Linked DNA regions of Canis lupus familiaris. The protein of the gene in region 1 purifies or fractionates together with the protein of each later gene. This does not show direct contact. Links are inferred from orthologs where the notes say so. Each region holds a gene or a part of one and is shown on either strand. Other genes may lie near its edges.

Region 1 (4,085 bases):
ATGCACATGATTCTACCAACAAAAATCTAAACTTTCAGTGTGTGAATGTAAACTTCAAATTAGTTAAACCTCTGATGCTTTTGCCCATGTATCAATTACCAACAGATTTTCTTCATCAATGTCTGGAGACCACATTCATGATTTCTATAAGACAGAAATAAAGCAGATAAACTATACTGTATGCTGAAAAAGAGATTTTGTGGGAACATAATGCTGCAAATGAAAACTACTGATAAAATACTCTGTAAAGGCTGCTTAGAAAAATTTGATAGCTACATAGAAATTGCCAAAGTATCACCTACAACTATGAAAATAACTACTACTAAGTCACATAAAAATAAACATCATTAATCTCCCATTTTCATGGGGGGAGAGACCCTTTCTAGAATTATTTTGATCTTAACATATTTTATTTAGGCTTTCCAAGAAACACTCTAAAATAAATCAAATAAAAATGGCTTATTAGATCTTCCTAACAGTAGTTTTCTGAAGATTTTGTTTGGCTAAACCTACCATACTTACCTCAAACTTTGCACCACTGTTTGGTACAGCTGTTCCACGGTTGGTTTCTCTAGATCCAAGAACAGTTCTGAGACTAGCTGGCAAGTCAAAGTTGGCTGTTCCTAAAGCTTTTGCTGCATTAGCTTTTGCTATTTCTAACAGCTCCATTCGATCTATAAAACAAGACAAAACATTCATTAATCTTTCAGTACGTTTATCCAAAGAACAGTGAATCACAAAGTAAGTTTCTTTTATTTAGACTAACAATTCAAAGACATTGAAGTATTTTCTTTTAGTGGGTAAAATATAGCTGTGATGACAAAAAATTCTTCACCTCATCTTTTTTGCTAAGAAAAACAAGCAAGCATCCCTAAAGAATCTCAACAACTGGTTTTCAATTTGCCTTACCAAAGAGGCCTGAATTTCCTGTTTTCCCTTCCTCTTCAAATGTGTACTCTGAACATCAAGTCCTCTTGTAAAAGATTTTGTATTTGGCACAAACATCACAACTAATTAACCAATACAGACACATTACTAAATCTATTTTCAGACTCCTAAAATACTCCTTTGCATGTCTTTTTCTGTTCTATGATCCTATCCAGTGGTAAAACAAATCACTTGTAAAAAAAAAATACTGAAACTGGGGCGCCTGGGTGGCTCAGGTCATGTTCCCAGGTGCCTGGCATTAGAGCCCTGCATGAGGCCCTCTGCTTCTCCCTCTGGCCCCTCCCCTGCCCAGGTGCTCTTTCTGATAAATCTCTAAATAAAACACTGGAACAAAATACAGCAGTTCCAGTAACGTGGTATGGAGGAAAAAAAACTGTGATCCTCCTCTTTTCTTAAAAGCTTAAGACAGACTACTGAAATCACTAGCAACAGCTAGAAAGGCTCCACTGAGAAGGGCCAGCCACTAGGAAAAAAGGACGTATACCACAATCGGCTTCCAATCCCCAGGAGAAAAGACTGTCCACTTTAAAACTGGGTACCAGGGGATCCCTGGGTGGCTCAGCGATTCAGCGCCTGCCTTTGGCCCAGGGCGTGATCCTGGAGTTCCGGGATCGAGTCCCACGCCGGGCTCCCTGCATGGAGCCTGCTTCTCCCTCTGTGTCTCTGCCTCTCTCTCTCTCTCTGGATCTCTCATGAATAAATAAATCTTTAAAGTAAAACAAAACAAAACTGGGTACCAAATGGAGCGCTTTTAACCGCTCTTAATCTGTCCCTTCCCTCCTTCCTCCCAACGAAACTAGTAAAATTACAGGAACCAAAAGCAATGGAAAGCGCCACACTCCACGGCAACGTTGGTCCCCCCGCGCGCTCGCGTCGTCGCCAGCCACGTCAAAGGGCGAGGCGGCAGCCGACTCACCTTTCTCGCTCAAGCGAAAAGGGGTGGGGCTCCGCGACCGGCTCCGGGACCTGCCCCTCCAACTTCCGCGTTCCTCCGGGTACAGGGTGCGGCCGAAGCCGTAGTAGCGCCGGCCCTGCGGCAGCGCGTAGGCCCGTCGGTAATACGAGCGTCCCCGCGAGCCGGACCGGCTCCGGGAGCGCGGCCGGGACGGCGACCGGCGGTATCTCCCGGTCGCGCCGTAGCGCCGGTCCCGGTACCGGCGGCCGCGGGAGCGCGACCGGCTGCGCGAGTAGGAGCGCGAGTAGCGCCTGTACTTCCTCTGGTGGCGCCTAACGGACCCGGACCTCGACCTGCCCCTCCTCCGGGGCCGGCTCCGACTGCGACTCCGCGACGACGCCCGGCTCGAGCCGCTGGAGCGAGACCGAGAGCTTCCGCTAGACGAGCGGCTCCTGGACGCCGAGGACAGGCGGCCGGACTCGCCCGACCGGGACGTCGAGGGGGACTCCCCGTCCTGAGGCGAGCCGGGCCACAGGTCGTTCACGTAGTGGGACATCTCGGCCCGAGGCTGCAAGCTTCCCTCCGTCAGAGGATCCCTGCCCGGAAACCTGGCGCCTAAAACCTACCGGGGGGCGAGGGGGGCCGGAAGTGAGTCGCGCCGGCGGGCCCCACGCCGACTGCCCGCCCTGCCCGCCGCTCCTTTCCGCGCCGCCACCACCATCGCCCGCCCCCGCCTCAGAGGCCGACCCCGTCACCCGGAAACCTACCGCCACAGGCCGTCGACGCCTCACCGCGAAGGCGAAAGGAAAGGACCCACGGACACCCTCCTTCCGAAGCTGAGGACGAAGAGAGGGTTTCGGAGGCTGCTCTGGAAAAGCGGAGCGTCAACCACCCCCTTCCACCTCTAGCCCCGAAGTGAGGGCGGCGGTAGCCGGGTCGAAAGTACCAGAAGCCGACGCGCAGAGCATGCGCAGAGACGTCGGCGCGGCGGGCGTGGCTCCCCTCTCGCCCAACCGCCGCTCGCTCTTCCTCCTCTCGTCCCGCGCCCCGCCCCGCCCCGCCCCGCCCCGCCCCGCCCCGCCCCGCCCCGCCCCGCCGTGTGCAAAGTCCCGGATGCGCAGGCGTCATTCGTCCCGGGGAGAGGGAGGGGTGCGGAGCTGCTGCATCCGGGTCCCCGGGGCTCTGTTTTCTTTGCTGAAAGTGATAGTGAGAGGGACCTTCGCCCGGCGGGACCCCGGGTTCACGGCCGCCCGCCGGGCCGGTGCAAACAGGGACGGGACGGTGCAACTTCCACCGTCTGGGAAGCTGCAGACTCGGGCTGAGCCTCCCTGCACCCTTCGAGGCCACTTCCTCCTGACTGGTGTCCGGCGGGAGAGGGCGATCGCAGGGGGAACCCCAGGCTGGGGGACGGCGCCCCTCCCCGCCCCGCGGACGTCTCAGGAGCTCCGTCACTGCAGGGTTAGCTTCGAAAAGGTTGCTTAACGCCCGTATTTTGTCCAGTAAAGGTCAAGAAAGTTGACCCATAACGAGGGGGTCAGAATGAGAAGTCAGTTCCGAGGACTCTGCTTGGTGTTGGGGATTAAACAATGGTGACTTTTATTTCCGGGGATTTGTAAAGAGGAGAACATTCCAAGTATTACTTAATGCTTAATAAAGCATGACATGCCTCGAAATAACTTTTCATTGAATTAACTAATCACATCTGTAAATAGAGTCATTATATGAGGTTCTTTGCAAGTCAAGAGTGGCACTTTTACTTTCTTTGGAGGGAGATACAAATTCACTTTTCTCGTGTTTATCTTCACCCCACATCCCCCAAAGAAACGGAGGGAATAAAAACCTTATCACAGAATCTGCATCCGCTCATGTAACCTGCCTTGGCACTGTCACAGTATCATCTGCATCTCTAGGCAAGCATCGTGATGGAAATCACTCTTAAGGAAAGAAATATTTCCTTAGAAACATTTTTCTAAGTGGTATCAAGTAAACTGAGAAGACAGTGCCCAACTGCCAGGAACTTTTGCTGAATTTCTCATAAAGCTGTGTGAGTGGACAGAAAAAAATGAGTTTCAGTTTTGACAAGTATAAACGGGATGTGTTGGAATATAGCATGATGCAGTCTTGAGCTTTGGTTAAAACGGAAGGGGTGGTGAGAGTCTAAAAGGGTGGCTTAGTCGGTTAAGCATCTGCTTTCCAACTGGGTCTTTTTTTTTTTTTTAAGATTTTATTTATTTATTCATGA
Region 2 (4,207 bases), on another chromosome or scaffold:
TCCTGGAGACCTGGGATCGAGTCCCACATTGGGCTCCCTGCATGGAGCCTGCTTCTCCCTCTGCCTGTGTCTCTGCTTCTCTCTCTCCTCTCTGTGTATTCTCATGAATAAATAAATAAAATCTTAAAAAAAAAATAAAAAATAAACCCACAGGCCCCACTTTATCTCCTTGTCTCCGCCACGTGCAGACGCAGTGGGTTACTAACTGCCCCCCCACCCTGCCAACCCAGGGCTCCTGGCCACCAGCCATTCGGTGGCAGTGAGCAGCAGAGGGTGCTGGGACAGCAGGTAGCCTCTCGTAAGAACTTTACTCCATGAGATCTGCCCAGAGGGACAGGGGAAGAGAGGCACACAAGGGTGCTGCTATGAGAGGGCCAGGATAGGCCCCGGGGAGGGGGCTCCCCGTCAACACAGCTGCCAGAGCTGTTTTTAAAAATATATTTATTTGAGAGAGCACGAACAGTGGGAGGGGCAGAGGGAGAAGCAGATACCCTGCTGAGTAGAAAGCCCGACCTGGAACTCGATCCCAGGACCCTGAGATCACGACCTGAGCCAAAGACAGATGCTCAACCACTGAGCCCCCGCCCCCCCTAAATCCATTCTTTAAAATACTTGTGGGAAGTTCCATATCGTGAGGAAGCAGCCTGGAAACACCCACCTCATGACAGTCTTCCGCTACAGAACCCTCCCCTGACAAATTGTGCTCCGAGTCTGAGTGCCCAGCGCAGGTAGGTGCCAGCTCCCCCACTCCGTGGGTGTACTCGGGACCCCCCTGCCGGTGTGCTTGGAGTTGCTCCCGTACAGGGATGCTGGTGTCACATTCAGCTACAAAACCTATCTAATGTGCCGCGGTGCTGACCACACTGAGCACCTGGGCACAGAGGTGCCGCTCTATTCACTAGAACATTATATTTACTCCACTGGCTACACGTTACCCTCAGAAAATGGTTTAGGGGAAGTTATGCAGGAAAAAAAAACATGGCAAATAAAGGCAAAGAAAGAATCAGATCCCAGTTCACAACATCTCAGAACTTTACTCAAAAAAGGGATGGTGAAGAGGTGAAGCAAATGGAAAGTTCTGTACCTTTCTAACGGGGACACTAAGCACATGTGGCTTCATCCACGCACATGGGGGCCACAGGCTGGTTCTCCCCACTGTAAACGTCAAATGTCAGGGGGAGGGCCGGGTTTCCCTCGGCCAGAACCCTGCACTGCAGAGGCGGCACCCAATCCGTCAGAACTGCACAAATCTCAGTCGGGGGCACCTCTGTGGCTTGGTTGGTGAAGGGTCTGGGGTTGGCTCTGGTGGTGATCCCAGGGTCCTGGGGTCGAGCTCCAGCTCCCATAGGGCACCCTGCTCAGGAGGAGAGCCTGCTTCTCCCTCTGCCCATGTGCGTGCTCTCTCTCTCAAAAATAGGGCAGCCCTGGTGGCTCAGCAGTTTAGCGCCACCTTCAGCCGGAGGGGATCCTGGGGACCTGGGATCAAGTCCCATGTTGGGCTCCCTGCATGGAGGCTGCTTCTCCCTCTGCCTGTGTCTCTGCCTCTCTCTATGTCTCTCATGCATAAATAAAATCTTAAAAAATTATAATAATAGTAAATGAAATCTTAAGAAGACTTTCTGATATGCGTGCCTGGGTCAGGCAGGGCCTTCCTTACCAGGACATCCTTCCTTCCTTAATAAATCCACGCTCAGCCAATCTGCGTGCAGTGAATGAGGCACCTGGAAATCATGTGTCCGGGGACCTGCTCTAAGGCATCCCTGGAAGATCGGGGAGGCTGCGCCGGGTCAGAGGGACCCCCTGCAGCCCACACTTACTTTTCTCCAGCTACTTTCCGCACTAACTTGGCCTCCGTCCCATTCATGTCTAGCTCCCAGCCCCCAGACATTTTGGGGAGGGACTTGTGCTTCTGTATTTTCTTTTCCTCCTTAATCTCATCATTCAGGAACTCGACGAAAGCTTTGTCCCCTGCAATGAAAACCCATAAGATACAGAAAAAGAAAAACCAGTCAGTCTTAAACCAACAAACGACTTGGGGTGATTGCTGTGGGAAACCTGGCCTCGACCGATTCTGATGCTTGTGCTGTTACGGAGGCTCTGGGCACGGAGTCAGACCCACGGGGCCTCGGTTCCCAACCTGGAAACGGGCTGGACACCCGTGGCAGGAGGCTGAGCTCAATTCTGGAAAAATGACTTCCAGCAACGAGCCCATCACCGCATTTCACAGCGAAGCCAGGCGATTCCCGTTACCCGCCCCAGACCACACACGACCTCCCCTGCTTTTAACTCTGACCAGCCGCCTCCCCGAATCCACCTCCGAGGCTCAGGATAGAGCCGGCTGCCGGGGTTTAGAAGCATCACCGCCAGCCAGGGAGCCACCACTCTCGGGATTAAGGCAGGAAACCTCAAGCCACGTGGGATTAACCTGGAGTCGTCCACTGCAGGGGGTCGTGAGTTTGGGGCCTTGGGCCCCCGCCCCCCTGGCCGCGGCTCCCCGGACCACCGCCCCCGCCGCGCCCCAGCCTCACCCTGGGTGTGCAGCCCGCCGCAGCCGCAGCCGCAGCCGCAGGGCCCGCGGGAGCGCAGGAGGCCCGCGCGCACAGGGAGGAGCCCGAAGGGCCGCACGCACGGCCGGGGCGCGGGCCGCAGCAGGGTCGGAGGCGGCAGGGCGGGGGCGGCGCGGAGCCCGGCGACCGCCGAGCCCAGGGCGCGGGGCACTCGGCGCAGCAGCGGTAGCATCGCGGCAACGCACGTGCGGGCGCGAAGGACGAACCAGGCCCGGATCCCGGCTCGCGCGCCGCCGGAAGTCCCGCTCCTCCCCGGGAGCGCTTCCGCGCCTGTGCAGTGCCGGCCCGGGGCGTCGGGCTGGCAGCGCCCTCTGCTGGGGCCGCCGAGGTCAGCGGGGCCGCCGGCGCCGGGTCTCCCCGCGGGACCCCGAGCCCCGAGGGTAGCTCCGCTCCGGGGCCGGCCCTCTGAATTCCCGCCACCCTTACCAAGCGTGGACACCACCCCGGCGTGCACACCACCTGTGTGCACCTCCCCAGCATGCACAGCCCCGGCACGCGCACACACACGGCCCCCAGCGTGTGCCCCTCCCCCCCACCAGCGTGCACCCAGTTCCCAAGACTTTGCATTGTTCTGGGACCAGGAAGCTGGGAGGAGGAGGGAGGGGCCCAGAAAAAGAGAGCTCTTAAGGCCCCGGAGAGGTCACTTGGGGCCTCCAGCTGTTCTTGGCACCCACACCCTACTCCTAGCAGCTCCTCGAAGAACCTCCTAAGGCGGTGTCAGAATCGCAGATGCAAAAGCCTTAGTCGTTACGGATTTTAAGGAATAAAAGGGAATGCAGAACTACGTGGGCGGCCGAACCGCATCCCAGACTTCAACCTCGCGGTACAAGTCCCAGGGCTGGTCCAAGAGCAAGGCGGGTGTTCCCATCGGAGATGAGCCCAAGACCCCAGCCCGTGGCCCGGGGGAGGGGGGGGGGAGGCGCTAATCGCCCCTTCCCCTGGCCCCACCCTCACAAGGTTAAGGTCTCCCCCGGGGGGAGCAGGGGCCTCATTGCCCTGACAGGGCGCAGGTAAAGGTGTTTTCAACCTTGTACCTGAGCAACCTGATGGACGCCCCTGCGCAGGGAACACAGCTGCTCTCCCTGGATATTCATCCCTCACCCTTAATAACCTGCTCGCCTCTGCTTGACAGTCACGGCTTTGGAAGTTATTTCCTTCCTCCTCCTTTGCTGCAAATCCTTTAGTTTCCTGTGTGGGGCTGCCCCTGGGGTCGTCTCTGGTGGAGTTATTTGGAATGTCTCCGTGTGGTTTGGTTGGGTCCTGGGCATCTTGGAGCTAAGTGGTGGTTTCATTTAGCCCAGGGCCAGGAGCCTGGGGCAGAAGGCATGCAGCCACTCCAGGGCTTGGGGAAGTAAGGGTTAGGGAAGATTTAAGAGGATAGGGGCACCTGGGTGGCTCAGTGGTTGAGTGTCTGCCTGTGGCTCAGGGTGTGATCCTGGGGTCCTTGGATTGAGTCTTACATAGGGCTCCCCGCAGGGAGTCTGCTTCTCCCTCTGTGTCTCTGTCTCTCATGAATAAATAAAATCTTTTAAAAAAAATTTTTTTTAAGAGGATTTTCATACACTGAAGAAGACTCTGGAAACCTGAGGCCTGGCTGTTGTCAAACTCAGAGTCGAGGGCTTCCCAGAGGAAACTCACCC
Region 3 (3,656 bases), on another chromosome or scaffold:
TGGAAGTTGAGGAAACTTTATTTCAGAGAGAGCTAGAATCCTAGACAGCCCTCCAAGTCATTGGAAAACCAAAAGCAGGAAACCCTGGTATCTCCTCAAGAAATTTAAGACACTAATCAGCAGGGAGAATTAGTATAAGGTCAAGAAAATGACCGGGTAGGCTGTTGCCTTGAACCAGGTGATCTCCCACACGCGGAACTAGAGCAGCCTCTACTGGCAGTTCATGGGTATCACCAGGGAGACAGCAAGGAACTGGGTATCTTGGGAGGTTAGACAGAAGCAGCTTAGGTTTGTAAGGGCTAACTTTCACATAATTCAGACTGAACACAAGTAAAGGAACCACCCCTGCCTCTTGGTAGGCAGAAGCCTCAGTCTTTCCATTATTTTAGAGAAAAGAGGCAGCCCAATAGGGTGGCTGGAAGTGTATGTGGAGGTGGGTGTCCCCGTGCACACGCACTTGAGTGTGGGCATGTCCCTAGCCACCAGAGCATCGCACCAGGGTCTGCAGCTTTAGAAAGAGGTCAAAGTACCTGCGTTTTTAATAATTTCTTGACATGGTAAAAGAATTTTACATTACGATCCAAGGGTGGTAGAGTAAGGAGGAGGGGCAGCAGAATAATCCAAAAAACAAAAAGGGAAACTGAGAAACACATAGTGGGAAAAGGGTAGGGTTTTAGCTGGAAGGGATCTGGAGGGTGGGTAGGGGCACTGCCCAACTAAAATGCAATTGGTTTGTTACTGAGTACTATTCATGGGAAGACAGCATTCTGACTCCTTTACAGCATACTGGGAGTAAAAATGATGCATCTGGGTGGAAATATGATTGGGGATGAAGGCAAGGGGAAGAATAAGAGTCAGAAACAGACATGGAGAGAGTCGCTGGCAGGCTGACTGCAATACTAACTCTCCAGTAGCGGCAGAATAAAAAAGTAGGGGTTTGATGAGGGTTAACAGAAAAGCTGTAACAAGTGATCTCTCTGGAAGATTCAAGAGATAGGAGGCAACTCTTCTACGGTTTTGACTTGCCTGGCAGATTTTCACATACACACAAAGCGTACACGCGTGTGTGCATACACACACACAGACACACAGGTGCTGCTTTCCTTGGAAGCACAATACTATAAATAAGAGAAATATTTTTCCCCTAGGAAAGCCCAGCAGAAGCAGCAGCATCTGGCCCTCAGAGCTGCAGGGAGCCCCATGCCAATTTACAACTGGCCTAGAAGAGGCAACCAGGAGCCAGAGGACCAGCCTTTGCAGTGATGCCCCAAAAGACCGGAGTCACAGAGGAAGGGGCCTTCCCCAGATCCTCTGCTTCTCATCTCTTGGCTCTCCTCCAACTCACCAGCCTCTGGGCATCAAGAGCCTGTATATAAGAGCAGAACGAGGGGCCCCAGTGTGTAAGGACTAAGACAACTATCAGCTTCTGAATGATGTGTGTGTGTGACAGAGTTCTTGGGGAGGGGGTTGGGGGGACAAAGGACAACAACACAGACTATGCGATGGGGAAATCAGGTTAAGAGTAGGAAGGCATGTGCGTGCATGTCTGTACGTATGTGTATACCACACACCTATGTGTATGTGAAAATCCTGGTTATAAAAACATCTCAAGGAGCTAGGGACTTGGCAGAAGGCCTAAGGTGTTTCTTGTCATGATCAGGTTCAAGGTGGGATGTATGTGGATGGGAAACCCTAAGTTATCACCAGGAAAACTGTGGGAGAGAGGATCCAATGTCCCACACAGTGGCAAGAGACACTAACCTTACATCAGAGGAGAGGAGCTGGACCCCTCCCACCCCAGTTCCTAAAAAACACCTAGCACTTTCCTTCCAGTTCCCTCAGCTTCTAATGAACTAATCAACAGAAGGAAGAAAACACAAAGCTCAAGACACAGGAGGGAGAGGGCAAGGAGAGAAAACACAAGTATTCCTGTGCCAATATCCTGCACACACAAACCTGGAATTCTCCAGAAATTAGGACAGGTCAGGTGTGGGGTATTAGGGAAAGAAATAGAAGAGTTCCTGAGGCCTGAAAAAAGAGGTAAACACGTCACAGAACTACATGAGAGTTTCATTAGACTCTAACTAAAAACAGAGAGAGGTGTGATTACTATTTCCAGCCAGTTTCCCCATCACGATAGTCATGTAACAAACCAAGGCAATGTCGGTCTTGAGCCAGACTCACAGAGTCCCCTGGCCCTGGCCCTGGCCTCAGTACAGTGTCTCTGCATTGCTGCTCCGGGGCCGTTTGATCTTCTCGATATTTTTCAGGATCATGTCATGTAGAGTGACCTGGGAGAAGAGGTCAAGGAATCACACATTTGTTCCATCTGACCTCCCAAAGAAACTAGATACCCCCACAAGTCCCCAACCAATCACATGCAAAATCCCAATCCCACTCACTGGAACCTGAATTCAGGGCGGCTGTCTCTCACATACCCACACATTGGGGATTCCTGGATACTTCCCAGGCCCCAAGTGTCGAATAACAATCAACGATGGTACTGGGTCTTTTAACATGTTATTTCACTCATTTTTGGAAAAAAAATTAATTTATTTGAGGGAAAAAGAGCAAGTGGTGAGTGAGGGCAGGGGGCAGAGAAAGAGAATCTCAAGCAGACTCCCTGCTGAGCGTGGAGCTCAACACAGGGCAGTCCTACTAATCTCAATCCCACTATGCAGGAGATCATGCCCTAAGCCAAAATCACGAGTTGGATGCTTAACCAACTGAGCCACCAGGTGCCCCTATTTCACTCATTTTTAAAAACCATCTTTGTAAAAAAACAAAACAAAAAACCCCCATATTTGTGCCATAGATACTCTAAGTTCTATCTTAGAGATGAAGAAACTGACATTTGAGGTTCAACATCTTGCCTAAGGCCACAGATTACAGGAAGAATTTGTTCTGAACCTAAACCTTGTGACTCTAATGCTCACATTTTCACACCTATACTGCACTACACTCCCTGCTATCTAAACAGAAAGGGAGATCCCCAGCTATGCACCCTCAATGATCTCAGCTCTCAACTCAGTTAATGAGAATTTATCCTACTCATTTTATCCTACTCCATCCCCCACCTCAAACCCCAGAAAATGACAAAGAACATGACCCCTAGGACTAACAGGCAGGGTGACTATGGGCAGGGACCAAGGTTACTCACATATTGATTCCTTAGCTCTGATATGATGAGCCGAAGGCTGATATATTCTTTCTCATCAATTTCTGTCACGGTACGGCGATAGTCCTCCTGAAAGGAGGGTGGAGGAAAGGCTAGTTGCTGAGGCCGGGCTGTCCACAGGTGGCAGCTCTTGCAGAGTAACAGCCACTCCTCCCTCTCCTTCCACTTCCACCCTCAGACCCCCACACCCTTACTTACCACATGGGGATATTTAGCTATTTTAGAAACCAATTTGGCTCTTGTAATATAATATCTGTAAGGAGAAAGAGGAAGAAGCTGCAGAAGACCCTGGATAGTGCTTGGTATGTCACCAGCCCCCAATTCCTGGGCCACGCCAAGAAGCCCTACCTAGAAATCTGGTCCAGATAAGATGCAGCTTCACTCTCAACAGTTCTTAGTTCTGCAACTGTCTCCTCCTAAAAAAAACCCAAGGGTCGAGGTCAAGTCACTTCCATGTCACTCAAAGAGCCAAAGAGAA

The links.
Region 2: the proteins of RSRP1 (region 1) and C1QBP purify together in Homo sapiens (affinity purification with mass spectrometry; 3 studies listed by BioGRID and IntAct, counting the BioPlex papers as one, with this or other methods). This does not show direct contact. The link is inferred for Canis lupus familiaris from reciprocal best matches to the Homo sapiens genes RSRP1 and C1QBP.
Region 3: the proteins of RSRP1 (region 1) and PSME3 purify together in Homo sapiens (affinity purification with mass spectrometry; 3 studies listed by BioGRID and IntAct, counting the BioPlex papers as one, with this or other methods). This does not show direct contact. The link is inferred for Canis lupus familiaris from reciprocal best matches to the Homo sapiens genes RSRP1 and PSME3.

The regions. Positions count from the first base shown.
Region 1 is NC_049223.1:73,938,052-73,942,136, reverse strand, and holds the start of RSRP1 (arginine/serine-rich protein 1), read right to left. Parts: upstream 2,834-4,085; 5' UTR 2,611-2,833; intron 2,466-2,610; 5' UTR 2,400-2,465; coding exon 1,865-2,399; intron 675-1,864; coding exon 523-674; exon of another isoform or gene 100-522; intron 1-99.
Region 2 is NC_049226.1:31,558,825-31,563,031, reverse strand, and holds the start of C1QBP (complement component 1 Q subcomponent-binding protein, mitochondrial), read right to left. Parts: upstream 2,824-4,207; 5' UTR 2,740-2,823; coding exon 2,529-2,739; intron 1,969-2,528; coding exon 1,818-1,968; intron 1-1,817.
Region 3 is NC_049230.1:20,058,222-20,061,877, forward strand, and holds the end of PSME3 (proteasome activator complex subunit 3), read right to left. Parts: intron 3,595-3,656; coding exon 3,527-3,594; intron 3,432-3,526; coding exon 3,377-3,431; intron 3,248-3,376; coding exon 3,161-3,247; intron 2,292-3,160; coding exon 2,211-2,291; 3' UTR 522-2,210; downstream 1-521. UniProt on the Homo sapiens protein: Subunit of the 11S REG-gamma (also called PA28-gamma) proteasome regulator, a doughnut-shaped homoheptamer which associates with the proteasome. 11S REG-gamma activates the trypsin-like catalytic subunit of the proteasome but inhibits the chymotrypsin-like and postglutamyl-preferring (PGPH) subunits.